Linked DNA regions of Coturnix japonica. The protein of the gene in region 1 interacts with the protein of each later gene in a biochemical or structural test. Links are inferred from orthologs where the notes say so. Each region holds a gene or a part of one and is shown in the gene's direction. Other genes may lie near its edges.

Evidence for each region.
Region 2: the proteins of PSMD4 (region 1) and NUB1 form a complex in vitro, tested with the Homo sapiens proteins (2 studies listed by BioGRID). The link is inferred for Coturnix japonica from reciprocal best matches to the Homo sapiens genes PSMD4 and NUB1.
Region 3: the proteins of PSMD4 (region 1) and PRKN form a complex in vitro, tested with the Homo sapiens proteins (6 studies listed by BioGRID, with this or other methods). The link is inferred for Coturnix japonica from reciprocal best matches to the Homo sapiens genes PSMD4 and PRKN.
Region 4: the proteins of PSMD4 (region 1) and UBQLN1 form a complex in vitro, tested with the Homo sapiens proteins (6 studies listed by BioGRID and IntAct, with this or other methods). The link is inferred for Coturnix japonica from reciprocal best matches to the Homo sapiens genes PSMD4 and UBQLN1.

The regions. Positions count from the first base shown.
Region 1 is NC_029540.1:2,264,750-2,269,560, forward strand, and holds the start of PSMD4 (26S proteasome non-ATPase regulatory subunit 4), read left to right. Parts: upstream 1-1,638; 5' UTR 1,639-1,736; coding exon 1,737-1,762; intron 1,763-2,762; coding exon 2,763-2,903; intron 2,904-3,042; coding exon 3,043-3,157; intron 3,158-3,340; coding exon 3,341-3,427; intron 3,428-3,694; coding exon 3,695-3,763; intron 3,764-4,266; coding exon 4,267-4,482; intron 4,483-4,569; coding exon 4,570-4,678; intron 4,679-4,811. UniProt on the Homo sapiens protein: Component of the 26S proteasome, a multiprotein complex involved in the ATP-dependent degradation of ubiquitinated proteins.
Region 2 is NC_029517.1:5,523,295-5,527,907, forward strand, and holds the start of NUB1 (NEDD8 ultimate buster 1), read left to right. Parts: upstream 1-1,672; 5' UTR 1,673-1,738; exon of another isoform or gene 1,739-1,929; intron 1,930-3,605; 5' UTR 3,606-3,609; coding exon 3,610-3,726; intron 3,727-3,811; coding exon 3,812-3,973; intron 3,974-4,613. UniProt on the Homo sapiens protein: Specific down-regulator of the NEDD8 conjugation system. Recruits NEDD8, UBD, and their conjugates to the proteasome for degradation. Isoform 1 promotes the degradation of NEDD8 more efficiently than isoform 2.
Region 3 is NC_029518.1:40,121,624-40,126,202, forward strand, and holds the start of PRKN (E3 ubiquitin-protein ligase parkin), read left to right. Parts: upstream 1-1,638; 5' UTR 1,639-1,749; coding exon 1,750-1,947; intron 1,948-4,579. UniProt on the Homo sapiens protein: Functions within a multiprotein E3 ubiquitin ligase complex, catalyzing the covalent attachment of ubiquitin moieties onto substrate proteins. Substrates include SYT11 and VDAC1.
Region 4 is NC_029547.1:36,156,216-36,161,019, reverse strand, and holds the start of UBQLN1 (ubiquilin-1), read left to right. Parts: upstream 1-1,863; coding exon 1,864-2,022; intron 2,023-4,804. UniProt on the Homo sapiens protein: Plays an important role in the regulation of different protein degradation mechanisms and pathways including ubiquitin-proteasome system (UPS), autophagy and endoplasmic reticulum-associated protein degradation (ERAD) pathway.

The DNA.
Region 1 (4,811 bases):
ATGGATTCTGGGGCCATCAAATGGATCCTAGCATGGACTTAAGGATCCTGACCCCAGCTGATGGGTCCTGGCATGGGTTAATGGATCCTGGGACCATCACCTGGATCCTGGGACTGCCCGATGGGTCTTGGAATGGGTTGATGGATCCTGCCATCACTCAGTGGATCCTGTCATGGACTTAAGGATGCTGACCCTTAGGTGATGGATCCTGGCACCACATGATGCATTCTGGGATCATCAAATGGATCCTAGGGCCATCTGATTGATCCTGGAACGGGTTGATGGATGCTGGCATCACCCAATGGATCCCTGGCACAGACTTAAGGATCTTAGCCCCAGGTGTTGGCTCCTGGCACCACATGATGCATCTGACCCCATGTGATGGATCCCAGCACCTTCCTAATGGATCCAGTACTACCTGATGGATCCTGGCATGGACTTAAGGATGCTGGTGGATCCTGGCATGGGCCAATGGATCCCAGCACCTCCTGACGGATCAGGTCTCAGGTCATGGATCCCAACACCACCTGTTGGATTCAGGCCCTTGTGGTCCCTTGGCACTGGGAAGGCCCTGTCCGTGTCCCCATGGAGCTGCTCGTGCCGTGTTGTGGACGTTGTTGTGTTATCTCTGTACTGTTTCGCCCTCAGGGCCGTTCTATGGTTACCACGGCCCCCAATACAGCGCGTGCTCCTGCAGCCATCTGCCTCCACGCCTGCTCTGTGGGAATAGGGGCTATGGGGGGGATGTTGTGGTGTGTCCGCCATTGCCCTGGGGCTGTGGGGTGGGTTCTGAAGGGCCTCAGTGCCCCTTTGTGGGGGTCTGGAGTGATCCTGGGGAGGGAATGCAGCTGTTGGGGGATTTGTGTCTGCCATTGAGCACGGTGTGGGTTCAGAGCATGGGTTGGGTTGGAAGGGGCTCCTGGAGACCTTTTGGTCCCACTTCTCACGATGAACTGGGACAAGGTCCCTTCAATCCCAAACTCTTCTGTGCTTTTATGGTGAGGAGGTTGACCTTCAAGGACCTTACCAGTCTGCCCACCCCATATTTGACCTTTGAGGACCCTTCTAACTGCACCCCTCCATATTTGACCTTCAAGGTTCCTTCCAGTCTCATCCCTCCATATTTGACCTTCAAGGACCCTTCCAACCCGCCCCCCTCCAGTTCTGTGGATGATCATTAAGATCAGAGGTTCAGAGGTTGACGTTTAAGGACCCTTTCAATTCCCCCACCCCATATTTGACCTTTGAGGACCCTTCTAACTGCACCCCTCCATATTTGACCTTCAAGGACCCTTTCAAACTCACCACCCCATATTTGACCTTCAAGGACCCTTCCAACCCGTGCCCCCCCAGTTCTGTGGATGATCATTAAGATCAGAGGTTGATGTTTAAGGACCCTTTCAATTCCCTCACCCCATATTTGACCTTCAAGGACCCTTCCAGCCCCCCCACCCCCCCGCCCTTCATCCCTCTGCTTCCATAGGTGCTCATTAAGATCAGACTCGCTGTTGCCGTCCCGGACGGCGGCACCATCAGCTCCTCACCTACCCTCCACACCCCCTGATATGGGTCCGGGCGGCCATGTTTGGGGGGGCGGATAGGGGATCTATAGGGACTACAACTCCCAGCGTGCTCCGCTCGCCTCGCTTTCCAGCAGCGCCTATTGGCTGACGGCGAGCAGCCAATCAACGGGCTCCTTATTGAGAGGGCCGTGAGGCGGCTCTGAAGAAGCAAAGATGGTTCTGGAGAGCACCATGGTGTGGTGAGCGGGCCGGGCCGGGCCGGGCCGGGCCGGGTTGGATCGAACCGGGTCGGGATCGCTGCAGCCCCGGCCCCGACCCTTCTCCCTTCTCGCTCCCTCGTGTCCCGCTGTGCTCTATGGGCCGCGCGGCGCCGCACCGGCTTTCCCTGAGTCATGGCGGGTCGGGGCCGGGCCTGTGGGGGGGGTTGGGGTCAGCGCTGTGGACACATTGGGGTCACATTGAGACACATCAGAGCCGTGTTGGGGCCTATTGGAGGGGGGGCATCGCAGTGGGGCGGCCTGAGCTGCGGAACTGCTGGGGTTCAGTGAGTGTAACCATGTCTGTGGAACGGGGGGTGGGGGGGAAGGGTCCTGAAACATTAACTGTGTGATGGATGTGTTGGGAGGGTCCTTGAAGATCAACCATGGAGTGATTGTGTGGGAAGGGTCCTTAAATATCAACCATGTGATAGTTGTGTTGGGGGGATCCTTGAAGATCAACCATGGATTGGTTGGGTGGAAAAGGTCCTTAAAGATTAACTATGTAATGGTTGTATTGGGAAGGTCAACCATAGAGTGATTGGGTGGGAAGGGTCCTGAAAGGTCAGCTGTGGGATGGGTGGGTAGGAAGGGTCCTTAAAGGTTAACCATGTGATGGTTGTGTTGGGAGGGTCCTGCAAGGTAAACTGTGGGGCGGTTGGGTGGAAAAGGTCCTTAAAGATTAACCATGTGATGGTTGTGTTGGGAGGGTCCTTGAAGGTCAACCATGGATTGGTTGGGTGGGAAGGGTCCTGCAATGTCAGCTGTGGGGTGGTTGGGAAGGGTCCTGAAAGATTAACCGTGTGATGGATGTATTGGGAGGGTCCTTGAAGATTAACCATGGAGTGATTGGGTGGGAAGGGTGCTATAAGATCGGCTGTGGGGTGGTTGGGCTGGAGGGGCTTTGGGATTTGAGTGCACCCTCATTGTGTCTGTGGGTGACGCTGAGCTGTGCCCCCTCTGAGGGATGGTGTTTTTCCAGCGTTGACAACAGTGAGTACATGAGAAATGGGGACTTCTTACCCACCCGCCTGCAAGCTCAGCAGGATGCCGTCAATATTGTGTGCCACTCCAAGACCCGCAGCAACCCCGAGAACAACGTGGGGCTCATCACTTTAGCCAAGTATGGGGCTGGTTAAGACACATAGACCTGGAGGTGCTGTGGGAAGGAGGGAGGGGGGATATTCCACATTCTGGAGCAAACGGGGGTTTCACAGAGAGGTTCTCAAACAGCGTCACTGTAGTTCTTGTTTCTCTTGCAGTAACTGTGAAGTGTTGACCACGCTCACTCCGGACACAGGACGGATCCTTTCAAAGCTACACACGGTGCAACCCAAAGGGAAAATCACCTTTTGCACGGGGATCAGAGTTGCTCATGTAAGTTGTTGTTACTACAAACTGAGCCAGCTTTGGATTGGGGATCTGGGTTGGGGGGAGGAGGAGGAGGAGGCTCATCCACCCGGTGGTTCTCTGCTTCTCTGTGTCTGTGCAGGGCTGCCTCCCAGCCGTCCTCTCTCCTGGGAGCTGCTCCTTGAGCACGATGTGACTTCTGTTTTGTAGCTGGCTCTGAAGCATCGCCAGGGCAAGAACCACAAGATGCGAATCATTGCCTTTGTCGGGAGCCCTGTAGAAGATAACGAGAAAGACGTGAGTAGCGCCAGTCTAAGCAGAATATGTTGTCTCTGCTCTCCATTACCCCTAAACCAGATGGGTGGCTTGTTCCTTGCTCTGCTCTGAGTGGAAGGCTGTGCCCCAGCAGGGCAGTGTGGGCTGGAGCTGCAGCTGTGGGGCTGATTTGGGGCTTTGCTTCGTAAGGATCTTGAGGGCTGTCCCCAGGTTTCCAATGGGAGGGTTGGGCTGTGAGCTGAGATGTGGGCAGTGAGGCACTAAAGCTGCCCCATTTCCTTGTTGCAGCTGGTGAAGCTGGCAAAGCGTCTGAAGAAGGAGAAGGTCAATGTTGACATTATCAACTTTGGAGAAGAGGTGAGACTTGGGCTGCGTTTTACCAGTTAAGATCTGAGCCAGGGGGTCAGGAGAGACATAACATCCCATCACACCCCATAACATCCCATCCCACCCCATAACATCCCATCCCATAACACCCCCTAACACCTCATAACACTCCATAACATCACACCCCATCCCATAACATCCCCATAACACCCCCTCTGTGGCTCCACTGGTGTTGCTGAGGTTCATGTTTCCCTCTGGGGAGGCCCCACATGTTTTGCTGCAGGCCTTGTTATTTTTCCCCGTGGAAACAGCAGAGCTGTGTGCCCCCAGATGGCATTTCTGGCCCCTTGCCTCTGGGGTTTGTGACCCGTGTGGTTCTGCTCTGTGCCTGGATTATGTTTGGTGGGAGGAGAAGGGATAATGGCGGACTGGGGAGCAAGAATGGCATCACCTGGTGCGCTGCGGCTAGTGGTGCTTCCAGGTATGGGGGCAGCATGGGGGGAGCTGGGCTCCCAGCCTCTCTCTTCACCTAGGAAGCCAACACGGACAAACTGACGGCCTTCATCAACACCCTGAATGGGAAGGATGGAACAGGCTCCCACCTGGTGACGGTGCCGCCAGGGCCCAGCCTGGCCGATGCCCTCATCAGCTCCCCGATCCTGGCTGGTGAGGGGGGAGCCATGCTGGGCCTGGGAGCCAGCGACTTCGAGTTCGGTGTGGATCCAAGTGCCGACCCAGAGCTGGCCCTGGTGAGTGGGATGGGGGGCAGCAGTGTGTGCCCTGCTGTGCTGCTCTGGGCTGTGCCCCTCAGTGCTGCGCTCTGCCCATCTCTGCAGGCTCTGCGTGTCTCCATGGAGGAGCAGAGGCAGCGGCAGGAGGAGGAGGCCAGGAGGGCTGCGGCTGCATCTGCAGCTGAGGCTGGGATCGCTGCCACTGGAGGGGACGGTGAGGAGCTGAGTGGGGAGTGGGGCTGCTCCAGTGGGGACAGCTGGAGTTACAAAACACTGCAGGAAGTGGGCGCTGGATGTGAGCAGCTCCAGGCTGGAGCTTCCCTTGGCTCACACTGGAACTCCCCATC
Region 2 (4,613 bases), on another chromosome or scaffold:
TGTGGTGCTCAGGGATATGATTTAACAGAGGGTTTTTAGAGTTAAGGTACTATGGTTGGACTGCAGTTGGACTTCATGATCTTCAAGGTCTTTCCCAACCTGGGTAATCCTATCATTCTATGTTTGGAACTCAGGGGGAGTATCTATCATTACTGCGTTACTATGACATTAGACAAGCTGAATTCAAGAGTATCAGCAAAGCCAGCTGAGTAACAATAACCTTATTTTAATAGTGGGCAAATGTGACTGATTTATGCTCACAGGAGAGCTTGGAATCCTTGATGTTCTATTTCAGAGTTTGTGAGCAAGACACACAATATCTGCAGGGCTGTTGGAAATATCCTCAATAATTTTTGGTCAGGATGGTATCTCTGATAAAAGCAGTTTTTATTCATGATTGCAATGGCGGGTGCCCTGATAGCAGAAGCGCACCTATGGACATGATGTTACAGTTTTTATACCTTTTCTCCCATGTGTTTTCCCCTCCCCTCTCCCCTTTGGTTGGGTATTACAGGTTATAATTTTACCCAAGGTTTGCATTTGTTAATTACATTCTGAAATTTGTTAGTTCACTTGCTATCTTGTGCCAGTCAGTTGCCATCCTGCTGTTTCTGTTTCCAAGATGTCTCGGTACTCTTATCGTATTGGTATGCTGATTCCCTTTAAAGCTTCTTCCATTCTGTCCTAGAGGCCTTTGTTAAACAAAGAGCCCAGAGGAGAGGGGTGATTCCAGTCCTTCCCGATATCTCTTCAGGCACATCCTTAGGTATGTCATGACTTGTATTTTTGAACAACAAAACATTAATACATACATTGTTGCTAGTTTATACAGGCATATTGTTAATTATTTTAACTTCTCCTCTTTGGATCTTATTTGTCCAGCACCAAAAACCAGTAGTTCTATTTCAGACAGCTGGACAGACAGAAGCTGCAGTCTTTGTAACTATGATTTTTACCTAATAACTGCAAATTTCTTCACTTATATATTCATATTTTGTTCTAAATGCAGAAACAACATTTGATTCCCACAAGGGCCACACAGCTGCCTAAGGAATATACCCCAGCAATGGGCCATTATGGGACCTATAGCAGAAGGTACAAAAGGAAATGGAGGCAAACGTGTTCCTGAGTCTGGGAGGTGTCTAAAGTATCAGATTAGAACTTAAAAGAACTGGTTTTAAGTTAAAAGAGGGAAGATTTAGGTTGGATGTTAGGGGGAAGTTCTTCACTAGGAGAGTGGTTAGGCCCTGGAACAGGCTGCCCAGGGAGGTTGTGGATGCCCCGTCCTTGGAGGTGTTCAAGGCCAGGTTGGACAGGGCCCTGGGCAACCTGATCTATGGGGTCTCTATGGGGATCTATGGGGTCTATGGGGTCTCTATGGGGTCTATGGGGTCCCTATGGGGTCTATGGGGTCTATGGGGTCTCTATGGGGTCTATGGGGTCTCTATGGGGTCTATGGGGTCTCCTGGGCAACCTTATCTAGTAAATGTGTATGTTTGGTGGCCCTGCCAGGCAGGGGGGTTGGAACTACATGATCCTTGAGGTCCCTTCCAACCCGGGTCATTGATTCTGTGATTAAAAACCTCCCATCCACAAGTGAGGGCAAAGTGCTAAGATGGCGGCCATCGCTTGGCTTCACCACGTGACCCACTCCTCCACTTCCGCCCTCAGAGCGGGGACCTCCCGGAAGTAGCGGTCAGGAGGCGGGCGTTGCAGGCCCCACCCCACACAGCCGCAGGTAAGAACATGGCGGGGGGGGCGGGCCCTGCGCCTTGCCCCTCCTACAGGCCGCCGACAGCGGGTGAGCTACCGCCTTGTTATCCCTCAGAACAAGCTTCTGGGTCTTTATGGGGGTTGGGGCAGCGGTTGCTAGGGCTCGTTGTCCCCTCAGCCTGAGCGCCGAGGCCTGTGTTTCACTGCAGGGCTCAGGTGGGTGCTTCCCTTCACACTGCGGCCTGCTTTAGGCCTCGCCCTTGTGGTGCTTTGAGCTGTGATAGTGCTGGGAGTTCATCCCTATGGCACAGGGTTATAAGGGTGTCGGTGCTGGGTGGGCTGGGTGTGTGCTGAGTTGCTTCGCTTCTCTATGTGCCCTGGAGCCGCGAGTGATCATTAAATAGCTGCTGTATGGCACCTTGTTTATGTTTCTATCTTGTTTTATTGCTAGACTGCTCAGAAACCTCCTTTTCTCAGCGATTTGGCTTTCAAACCTGATTTTTATGCTTGTTTTTCTGAGCCCAGCTGGCTCAGAAGGTGACGTTTGCGTGACAGAAAGCTCAGTCCAGCATTCAGAACAGCCCTTGGTAAATCCCCATCGGTTGTTTGGGGAGGGTCCCTTTAAGCTCAGTGAAAGTGAAACTATCAGGGATGTTTGTGCTGCTTGGTGGAAGCATCTCTCCTAAGTTCTTGCTCAGGATTCTCTTGCCGTTTACTGCGGGATGACCTCGTTTCAGCCTTTCAGTACTTAAAAGGGAGCCTATAAACAGAAGGGGAGTCGACCCTTTGAAAGGGTAGATAACAGCAGGACAAGGGAAAATGGCTTTAAGTTGAAGGAGGGAATTAGGTTGGATGTCAGGGGGAAGTTCTTTACTATGAGAGTGGTGAGGTGCTGGAACAGCTGTCCAGAGAGGCTGTGGATGCCCCATCCCTGGAGGTGTTCAAGGCCAGGTTGGATGGGGCCCTGGGCAGCCTGGGCTGGTATTAAATATAGAGGTTGGTAGCCCTGCATGCAGCAGAGGGGGTTGGAGCTTCATGATTCTTGAAGTCCCTTCCAAAGTGGCAGTTTAATCAATATTCAATGCCAACAACTTAAATGTCTTTCTATATAAATTAAAAGGCATCTCCCGTACGATTCCCAGTGTACGAGAGCCAAGTCATAAGTAAATAGATTTTCTTTGTGTTGGTTATTTATTTCGGAGATCGCCTCATCATCCTTTCCTTACCCTCTGTCTGCTTTCTCTATTCCTTGCTATAGAATCACTGAGATTGAATAAGGCCTCTGAGATCATTCAGTCAGGAAGGCATCAGGAATCATATAGGAAGGCAAAAGGCACTGACACATTTTGCTGGCAATAGCAGGACACGGGGAAATGGTTTTAAGTTAAAAGAGGGAAGATTTAGGTTGGATGTTAGGGGGAAGTTCTTCACTAGGAGAGTGGTTAGGCCCTGGAACAGGCTGCCCAGGGAGGTTGTGGATGCCCCGTCCTTGGAGGTGTTCAAGACCAGGTTGGACGGGGCCCTGGGCAACCTGATCTAGTAAAGGTGTATGTTTGGTGGCCCTGCTAGGCAGGGGGTTGGAACTACATGATCCTTGAGGTCCCTTCCAACCTGGGTCATTCTGTGATTTTGCAGAGGGATTGGAATGAGCAGCACTTTCCAGGGCAGGAAAGAATAGTTTTGTCACGGATTCTGAAGAATCAATGTGTTCTGCAATTATAGCTTATATGAGAGGTTAGGAAGAGATTTGCTATCACAAAATACCAAAGCTGGGGGCTCCTGAGTTACTCACGTTCTAATTTTTGGTAGTAGTTTTGTTGTTAGCTTCCCCTTCCTCAACAAAATGTGTTTCATACTCAATGGTATTTTTTGTTTGCTTGCTTTTGTTTTAGAAGAATGGCACAAAAGAAGTATTTGATAGCAAAGCTGACGAGTTGCTTGAGAGAAGACAAAATTCAGCTATGGAAACCACCATATACAAATGATAAAAAAGAAGCTGGTGAAGAGATGAAGGTAAATATTCCATCTGAGCTGACATCATGTATCCTGCAGTTGTATTACTGATGCATTTTGCCAGGTTTTCTTGCTGTTTTCTTAGGAGCTTGTACAGAAATACGCATCCAAGCTGAAAATCAATGAGAACGATGCAGAGAATATGCTGGAAGAAATACGGTGCAAAGCAATTGAGCGCGGAACAGGAAATGAAAATTATAAAGTGACTGGGATTGCAAGGCTTGATATCCATCTGCCTCGGAGAAAAGTAAGTGATGTTGCAGGAAAGTTGGGATAAGTAACTTTACTTTATGGGCTTTTGAGTTCTAGGTACGTATCTAATGCAAATGTGTTCTTCCTCAGCTTCTTTGGGTGTTTTGCATGATGGATCTGTGTTTGATATTAATAATGATAATTATTATTATGCTGGAAGGGAGAAGATGTTGTGTAGATATAGTTTAAGTTCCTCAGATATATGGAAGTATCGTGAAGAAGGGATATAGTGTCGGGAGGCCAGTAATTGTCTTCCCCTTAGGATTTAATGAGAAATGATCTTTCAATTAAGGAAAGTAAATTAGATTTGAGTGTCTGTCTAGTTCAATTTGATTTCTTCTGTCTGAACTGTTCATATTAATAATAAAGAGCAGATTTTTTTTTCAGTTGTAAAATGCCTAAAGTTGCATTAGCAAATGAATATCACTTTATTAACACGGCTCTTGTTGAAGTGACAGCTTTAATTTTTTTAAAAGTCCCCTTTCTTTTTAGCTGCAATGAGCGTATTGAGTGCTGTGTCATCATTGGCTGACAATATAAAATAGTCCTCCTTTAGCTTTTAACCATGGCATGTGGCAGCGCTCTTACAGTGATTTATATTGTGGCTGTTCTAGCCTAGGCAGCTGACTAAACCT
Region 3 (4,579 bases), on another chromosome or scaffold:
ATGAATTATATACCCTGTTGTTTTAAGTACAGATCAATATAATGTTATGTAATATCAGTAATATAATGTTACTCATAGTTGAGCATTTTGAGTGTTCCTGGGAATGCAGGAAGTGTTCAGTAGTTGGAACTACTTTTGCCCTCTATTTTGCTCTTTACTTCTCAAACTGCAATCAAACTAAAATTCAAAATACACTCACTCTTTCAAAAAATCCATATACAAGAATTGCACATTTCAGTTATTTCCAGAACATCTTTATATAGAAATCAAACCCAGTAACAAGATGTACTGCAGGAGACTCTGTAACACATTGTAGGCCGTATGTACTGCACTCCTCCTGACACGGTGTTATGTAATCCTATCCTGGTTTTTAGTAAATTTAGAGGATGTGCAAAACTCAAAATGTTGTGTAAAAAAATATATTGGTCTATGGCCTTAAAGATTATCCAGAAATAGCAAAATCTATATTAAAGGTGTAAAATTGCAAATATTTACAACGTTCATTGCTCAGCAAAAAATCGCCATCATTCTCAACTATATTCGCATGCTTTTAAAGCATTTGACTCCTTTACAGCAGTCAGGTACACTTTGTGTTTGGAAAATCATTGATCCTATTGTCAGTTTAAAAATAGATTTCCTCAAACTGTATGAGCACTTTTGAATTTATGCATCTGTCACTCATAAAAAATTCAAAGGAGTATGTCTTCAGTTAGAACATTGCAGTGGGAATGGGAAATCTTCAAGAGGGATGGTTATTGCAATCAATACCTAAACAGTTCAAATGTCAGGTAGCCAGTGACTAATTGATACAAATGATTTTATTGCTTTATATTACTTGCTAATTCCTTTGCTTTGTGCTAGTGGAACTGTTTATTGGCTGAAGCAGCCCACTGGGATTGAGTGTACTGTTTATGCAGCCTTAGTGACTGGTATGGATGTAGTCAAGCTTTTCTTGTTGCATAGTTCTTGTAGTCACTCCCCTGGTCAAGGGCTCAATGAGCACATTCAGCACCCTTGTGAAAAACAACACTGCCAGCTGAATGGCTGTAAGCTCATGAGTTTATTTGCCAGGCTTCTCAGGATATATAAACCACTCTCTGCAGCTCTAAAAATGATATGGCGAGTGCGGTAGTGATTTCCTGCACTGAAGGAACATGCCAGCAGGAGTTATGTACTGCAGATGTTTTAGTGAACTCTGAAAAGACCACAGTGTAATACAACACTCCCAAACATTTCTGCTAGCGTGTGATTTTTCTCTCCATCATTACCTTCCACAGAATTGTATCTGTGGGGAACCAATTTATGTGACCGTGCTCTGCAGTATAACAGTGAATTGTTTTGCTTAGTATTATTTAATGTAACTTAGCTCTAAAACTCAGTTTTCTGCATGCATTTGTTACGTGCAGCAGGAAAGAGCACAAGGGGCATAGAAAGTGTGTGTGTCCTGTGTCTGTTAAGGTCAGTTGTGGATCAGAGATTTGTTCCAGGACTTAGTGGTTGCCTGGACTGCTGGCTGGATGGGTCCCTTTTGGTTCTGATGTTTCTCTTCAATTTATAGCTCTGCTGGGGGAAGCACGTGGCTTTTGTTTATTAGTCACTAGCTATTCTGTGAAGGGAAATCCCATACAGTTCCTCTTTTCCAAATTATACACTACAGTATTAGTAGCTTTTCTCTTAAAACAGTCAGTGCTCTCTGAAATTGACAAATAAGCCACTTGTAGTCACTCTAGTACAGACCGGCAGTGAGAAATGTTTGCTTTAAAAGGTGTTTTCTCTTTTTCAGTGTTTGTCAGGTTCAACTCAAGCCATGGCTTCCCGGTGGAGCTTGGGTTGGAAGCCAGCATCCTCCAGCTGAAGGAGGCGGTTGCGCAGCGACAGGGAGTTCCAGCTGACCAGCTGCGGGTGATCTTTGCAGGGAGAGAGCTCAGCAACGACTTAACGCTGCAGGTAAGCCTCTGTGGTAGCTTTGCTCCTGGACTGCTGCCAGCTCTGCTGCCTCTGCCTCTAATGCTGCCAATCTGACATTCATTCCTGAGATCTAATAGAATAAATAGTGCCTGGGGATTCCTTGAACTTTACTCCACACTGCTTCATTAATTCTGACCTTCTTAATTATGCATTAAAACAGCAAGCAGGAAGGATAGGGAGAGCATATGAGTGAGAGAGTATGGGAGAGAGCTGTGCCTAGTGAATAAATGTTTACTGACTACAGAAGCAAGCCATGCACAATTTCTGTATCTGTTCAATTTTTATTTTACTTATTCCATTTGAATCTTAATGAAGAAGGATGTGAATAAATTGCTTCAGATCAGGCTGCACGGTCAGCACATTCTGTAGAATTTGTAACCCAATTGTGACCCCTGGAGGATAGCTACAGGGCTGCTGCTGCTGTTCTGAATGCTGCCGTGTGCCATACACAGGTGAACGCACTGCTGGAATGATGGTTCCAGTTCTAAAAAGCTCATGGAAGTGTGATCCAAACCACCAAGCTCATAAATGTGTGAAACTGAGAGCAGCAAGGAGTGTGGAAGAATGGCTATAAGTGGGTATCTGAATTTCAGTTTTTCAAGGTTAGGTAGCTGTTCAGTTCAATAAGTGCAGAATTGTTCATCTGTGATGAGCTGTAGTAAGCATGGAAATATAGGTTCAATTTTCTCTTCCTTGTACTCTTTACTACTCTTCCCAGTGCTGCCACAGTTGCTTTATCATTGTTTTTATTTATACTATGAGTAGTGAATGTGAATTTCAGAGTATGTTCAGGAAGGGGTTAGCATAAGATCATACATCTAAGACATGTAGGAACATAGGAAAACCTAAAGGCCTTTGAATAGAGTGCTCTTGAATTTACTGCCTTAATGAAACTGCTATCCTTCTGCAGTTGTATCAAAATAACAGACACAGTCTCTACTACTGCAGGTGATTATATAAAAGGTCCCTCACAGGCAGAAGTATTTCATGTTAATTAGCAGTCGTGTTTCAGAAGTATTTCTGTAATTAAAATGGATGCTAAGTCTGGGTACAGAAGGGTTACTACTGTATTAATGACCCGTCCTATTTCTCTGTGGTTAAGATACTCAATATTTTGCAAAGGATTTTAGTGTGTTTTAGGACAGAACACAATACAGAAATATGAACTGTTGTCAGTCCACAATGCATAACCTATAGATAGCATTGATGCATATATTTGTGATGTAAACTGCAGTGTATTTCACTTATATTTTTTCACATGTGAGAAGAAAAATAGTGGAAATTACCAGATACCAGTTGCTAGTTCTGGTTGTCTGTGTTATCCTGTCCTAAGCTTATGAACTCCTAGTGTTTCCTGAGCAGCTGTAGGTATTGGTGTTACTGCTATTTTATGTCACAGACATTGAATCATGTTTTTTGCCTTTAAAAAAAATTGCTGTCAGTTACAACATACAATGCTTTGCTGTGCAAATTAAAATGTGCTTTTTGGATATAGAAGCCTGCTGACTATTTGCTTAATTTATTTAATAGGAATGACAGAATTATCAAGTGTAGCCAAGTCTTACTAATAAACCGGATCTATGTTCATTGCTGTGACTTTCATTTTCTAAAGCATATAGGATGTAAAATGGCTATTTCAGGTGGCATAATCCATATTTGTGTATTTAAGTGCCTTACATAATCCAATGATTAATACCAACATGTCAACAAGATTTTTATTCCTGGTATTTAATTATTTTAATTGTTTTTATCTATTCATTGTAGAAATTGTCAACACAAGAAGAATGGTAGATGGTTTGATATATCTGACTTTTCCTACAGAAGGCAATTTGGGGCTTTTTGCATAAGCAGCTGAGTGCTAGTGAAATAGTAACTGCTGGCATTAATGTTGCATCTGTAATATCAGAGTTAACATCACATAGAAGAAAATTAATAACAGTTGTTTTCTGGACCTAATGATTTGCATGCAGATAAAATAAAACAAAACACAACATACATTTTTACATGGCTGAATCTTAGTTCTTGGTAGCTTAGAATTTCTAATTAGACCATTTTTTCCTTTTGTTTTTATAAATTACTTTTGTGCTTACTTACCCAGGATACTGTGGGAGAATTTAGAGATTTGGAATGAGCTGGGATAATCTTAGGAGTGTGGGGCAGGGATATAAGAAATATATCCCTGGATAACAAAGTTTACTGGTTTCACAGCTTGCAGAACTGCTAGATTTGGCTTGACAGCTACTTTGGGATCTCGTGCAGGTGATACAGAACACAACTGAAAATGTGAAAACTACATTTGTTTTCCTGTTCAGAGAGAATGGAAAAATCTTTCATGGTAGCTGAATACTGTAGAAGAGAAATGCATGCTGACTGGACAAATATTAGAGAGAAATAAGGATAAGGAAGAAAATGCCAACTTGAGATCTTTACATAAGTGAAAAATTTGAGAACAACAACAGTACAAAATATCTAGGAACGACAGGAGTGAAATATGTGTGGAGACATTTAATTTGGTAGCGCAGATTGGTGTTTTGTCCTTGAAAAAAGAGAAAGATTAGACAATGATTCAACTGTACACAAGGGAGATCAGTATCTCTGCTAGTGACAAAGG
Region 4 (4,804 bases), on another chromosome or scaffold:
TCATTGGCTGAGTACTTTAGGTTCACAATCTTCCCAACTCTCAGCTAAACATATGGATACTTACTAAACATAAATTTTTGCTAGCTAAGCAAGTATATTGCTAATTATTTAACTTCTGACGTTTTCCCACTCAACAATTTGTCTGGACATCTGGTCGCCTCTGGATAGAGATAAGCTTGGAAGGATAGAAGGGAGTATCTTCATGTCTTCCTCTTGCATCCCAACCTACCCACAGGACAAAGCAATCCAGCCTTGTGCGGAGGCCCTGGCTTCTTTGATGTTTGTTAAGTCTGTTTTTCTTTTGCTGAGGGTCTCTTATCCAAACAGAATAGCCTTACAATATGTTTTCTAGTCCATAATACTATACCCATACTATTTGGAACATTTAAAAACTATTGCAGTTTTGCAAGCAAGAATTAATCACATAATTCAGCAACTATATTTCTAAAATATGCTACTAACATATATGGTATTTCTACTTTTTCACATCAGCTATTTCTAAGGACAAGTTACAAAATACAAATACATTTGTTCTGCTTCTTCAGATCGACTGCCTTTTTCAATATGTAATGCAGAAACAACATTCCATTCCCACATTAAGAACCTACTAAATTCAAGTTCTTATTTTGTACTCCTTACCTCTTAGGTACTCTCACTGAATACCACAGATGCCTAATAATCTAAACTGTAAATCTCTTCTAGCCTAATGGATAGCAGTTGTGCTATTTTGGTACAAACTGTACTCAAGTAGCCATACAGTCAGCATGAGCTGTTGTAAACTAAGAGTAGCCCTGGTTGCAAAAGCCCTTGCACTTTGATCCAATTGATTGCTGCTTGAAACCACTGCTTGGTTGAGCAAAGCACTACCTGACTCACTGCGGCCCTCATTCTACCACCATTCTGTGTCAAAGCGCCCTGCTGCACCACAGTTCAGTGCTGTGTAGGGTCACAACTAACACGGGAAAAGGAATGAGTGTGACAAAAAAAAGGCTCAGAGATTAAATATACCTGAAAGCATTTTTTTTCCTTAACACACCAATTCTCTAGGCCAACCAGAACTTCAATGGGCCTTCCGCCAGCTTTTGGTATCCCTGTTTTAAAACCTGTTGACAGGTTTTAAATGGATTGCACAATAGTTTTAGAGGACTGGAGGCAGCTCTGTGGTGTTACCAGCCAACATGATTTACACTGAGTTCCTACACATGAGATTATCCTCACACCACAGCAAGACAGCAGCTCCTCCGCTGCACAGCGTCCTCTGGGAAACCGAGCTGTTAATGAAGGATGAGGAGGAGCAGGCACTCGGTGTCCTACGGAAATCCATGATTGTGTTTCATGCTTAAAAGAGAAATTCGAATCTTTAATTTACGAATATCACTAGGTAGAGCCTGACTTGGTGACGCTAGAATTAATTAGCGATTAAGTGCACTTGGTCCAAAATTCAGAGCAACGTGCAACCCGTCTATGGAGCAGTGCCTCAGGAATCCCGCTTCCAGAACAGTACACGTTCGACATTATTGCCGTACAACAGCGCAGAGCAACAAACTGAAAGACCAAACTCAGACCAGACCGCCCCGCCCCGCCCCGCAGTTGGCGGCGTACGCGAGACTAACTGCGCCTACGCGAGCGTGGCGCATGCGCGCAATAGACGCCGTGCATCCAGCCCCCACCCGGGCAGGCAGCGCCCCTTTCTAGTAACTTCCCCGAAGAGCTGCGTCATCAATGCGCGCCGCGGCCAGGACGGGTATTTCCGCCCGGCGCTACGGGAGCGGGCAGAGCCCGTTGGGGGGTGAGGTGAGAGTAGGGAGTGTTGTGCTTGTTCCGAGCTGACGGGCGTTAGGTGCCGGCCCGGCCCCGCTCACGATGTCAGACAGCACAGACAGCCCCGCGGGGCGCCGCAGTCCCCCGGAGACTCCTGCTCAGGGCTCAGCTGCCGACGAACCGCGCATTATCAGAGTCACGGTGAAGACTCCCAAAGAGAAAGAGGAGTTCTCTGTTGCCGAAACCAGCAGCATCCGGCAGGTGAGGGGCGGCGAGGAGCGAGGGAAACGCGGCCTGCCGGCCGAGCTCTGCCGCGCTCCGCGGCCTCACGCTGCAGGGCTGGGGCCCGTGCCCGTGACGAAGCGACTGCTGCCTGCCCGAGCTCCGCGGGGCCGGGCCGGAGAGCGGCGGGGCTCGGTCGTGGTCCGCTCCCGGCGGGGCGGCCGCATCCCCCCCCCGACCTCTCGCTACCCGCGGTTGTGTGTCGGCTCGGGAGGAGGCCCGGCCCGGCTCTTGTTGCGTTGCCCGGCCCGGCTGACTCAGGCTGGCAGCGGGAGGCGGCAGCTTGCTTGCCGGTGAGGCTGCGGAGAGCGTGCGCAATCACCTTGCTGAGAGCGTTGTGGGGCCGGTCGTTATCTGGATAAAATGTGCTCTAAAAAAACAACACTACCAAAAAAAACCCAAACAAACAAAAAAAAAACCCAAACAACTGAGAACGCCACGGCGAGCATCAGAATTTTAGGGAAGTTGTCTTTTTCGAGAGATTATAGAATTTGCAGTGTAAATAAAGTGCAACTTCAGCTGCACTTTTCTTATGAAAGCCTGTGCCCCCTCCACCCCAACCCTGGTACCTTCGGTTTGAAAGAAGTAGTGAATCATCATCTCGATTTCCTGTAATGCTCCTGTAATGTTTTTTTGTGGAAGTTTTCTGTGCAGGTGTTGATGGGGGCTTTTATTTGAGTTAGAGGGCAACCAACCATAGAGGAACTACAATCAAAGCCTAAGGTAGAGTCTGTAAAATCAGCCTTCTGTTTGTGAAGGAGATGGATACTGTTTTGCTAAGATACTCCAAAAGATGCAGTTACTTGGAGGGGATTCAGAGCTTACTTTGTCCATATGATTTATCTGAAATGTTCTTTAAAGTATCTTTGGATGAGGTGCCTCAGTTTGAATTCTTTTTTTTTTTCCCCCTTCTTGCATGTGACTTGTAACTGCAAAGTAAAACATGGGCATGTATGTGAGCTCTGCTGCCACAGAAATCCAGCCATGAAAGTTGACAACCTGAGTGACAGGTTACAAAGCTGACATTATTTTATTTTAGCTCTGGGTGTATGGTTGGTTGATTTTCCTAGCATGCATACCTAGGATGTAAAGTAACAGATCTCGTACACTTCAACATGTAAGTATACATACTATTTCCACTGAAGTGATGGTTTATTCTTAGAATTGCTTTATATATTAAAATGTAGTGCCACACATGTGATGAGTTAATATAGGGTTCTTTCTAGGGAATCTTTGGTGGTTGTCAGGTTCCACTGGGAGGTGTTGCCCATGCCAGAGGTGGTGTGGGCCAGGCCTGTATTTAGTCCAAAACCTGTTTTTGAGAGTCTTGGCTATTTAAGTTTCTCATTAGCACATCGACCTTATTATGGTGCCTGTATTATCAAACCCAGCAGCGTACAGCTTAGCTCCTCAAAGCTTGTGGGATGAGACTCTGCTTTTAGGCTTCAGATGTCCTGCTTATCTGGGAAACACAGCCTTTCCTAAACTGAATGTCAGTTTGCCAAGGAGTTTGAATTAGTTGCTGAAGGCTCTGAATTTATCTCCAGGTGTCACCACTGTTGTCAAAATGCAAAGCTTGATATCATTTCTTATGGTTAAACCAGAAGATGCTATGTGGTTATCAAAGGGGAATACAAGAGGTGAAGTAAAAGCCCTGAGTGTAGTACCAGCAACTGGGCTAGAATTTAAATCTTTGTTCTACCTAGTTGCTGTGAGGCGACAAGATGCTGGTATTTCTTTCAAGTTTTTCTCATTATTTTGCTTATAAGCATCCCAGAAATAAGCTTAATTGAGGTCCTCTCTCCAGCTGCTGGGGAAGTGATACTCTTCTGTCTTTGGGCTTTTTGCAGCATCCTACCTGCTACTCTATCTGCAAACTTAATCTAGGCATTTCTCCCAAAGGTGAAATGGCAGCGTTTGCTTTTAATGTTTGCAGAAATCTGTCAGAAGGGGGTACTTTTTTTCCTCTTCTAAGCAACATCAGCACTGTTATAAAGTTACTGGAAAGTTCTTTATGGGGTCTTTTTTAATTTTTTTGGAGATTCATATTCCAGATCTAACAGGAGGAAAGTATCTATCACCAAAAACAATGTAATTGCAAATTATTTGGATACTTAAGGAGGTGTAAACAAATTTACTTAAGGTGAAATTTATATTTACAAATTTATCTTTAGCAGGATTTTTTTTTTTTTTTAAATATGAAGGCCAGTTGGGATGCCAGGTTGTTTTGTGATCAGTTGTCTTAAAAGCAAATGTCTAAATAAGCTAGCAAGCACACTTTACTAAAAGAAGACATATGATTTTAAGTAGTTAATAGAAGATGCTGCTTGAAATTTAATTGTTGTCCACTTATCTTAAGCGCTAAACATTTGACAGTACATTAGAGGTACAGACTATTTGCAGTTATACCTTGGTTCCCATGAAGTAAGATTGCCCCTGGAGGCCCACCATTTGCTGTGGGTCCTAAGCTGTCACAACTACCACTAAAATACACAGTGTCTGGTAGTGGCTAATGTTAATCTGTTTTTCTTAAACTGTAATAATAAGCTGTTTTTAATAGTAAGCATCAGCAGTAAATATGATGTTTCCAGAGCTGACCCTTAAAATGGGTTAGTCTCACGTTTGTTTTTTTTTTTTTTTCTGTATTGAAAACTTCAGTAATGGAGTCATTGCTGATGCTGCGTTGTGCATCTAGAACATGGAGTACACAGGTTGCAATGGAAAATAACCTTCAAGTTATAAGCCCCTTTGGAAGGTCATT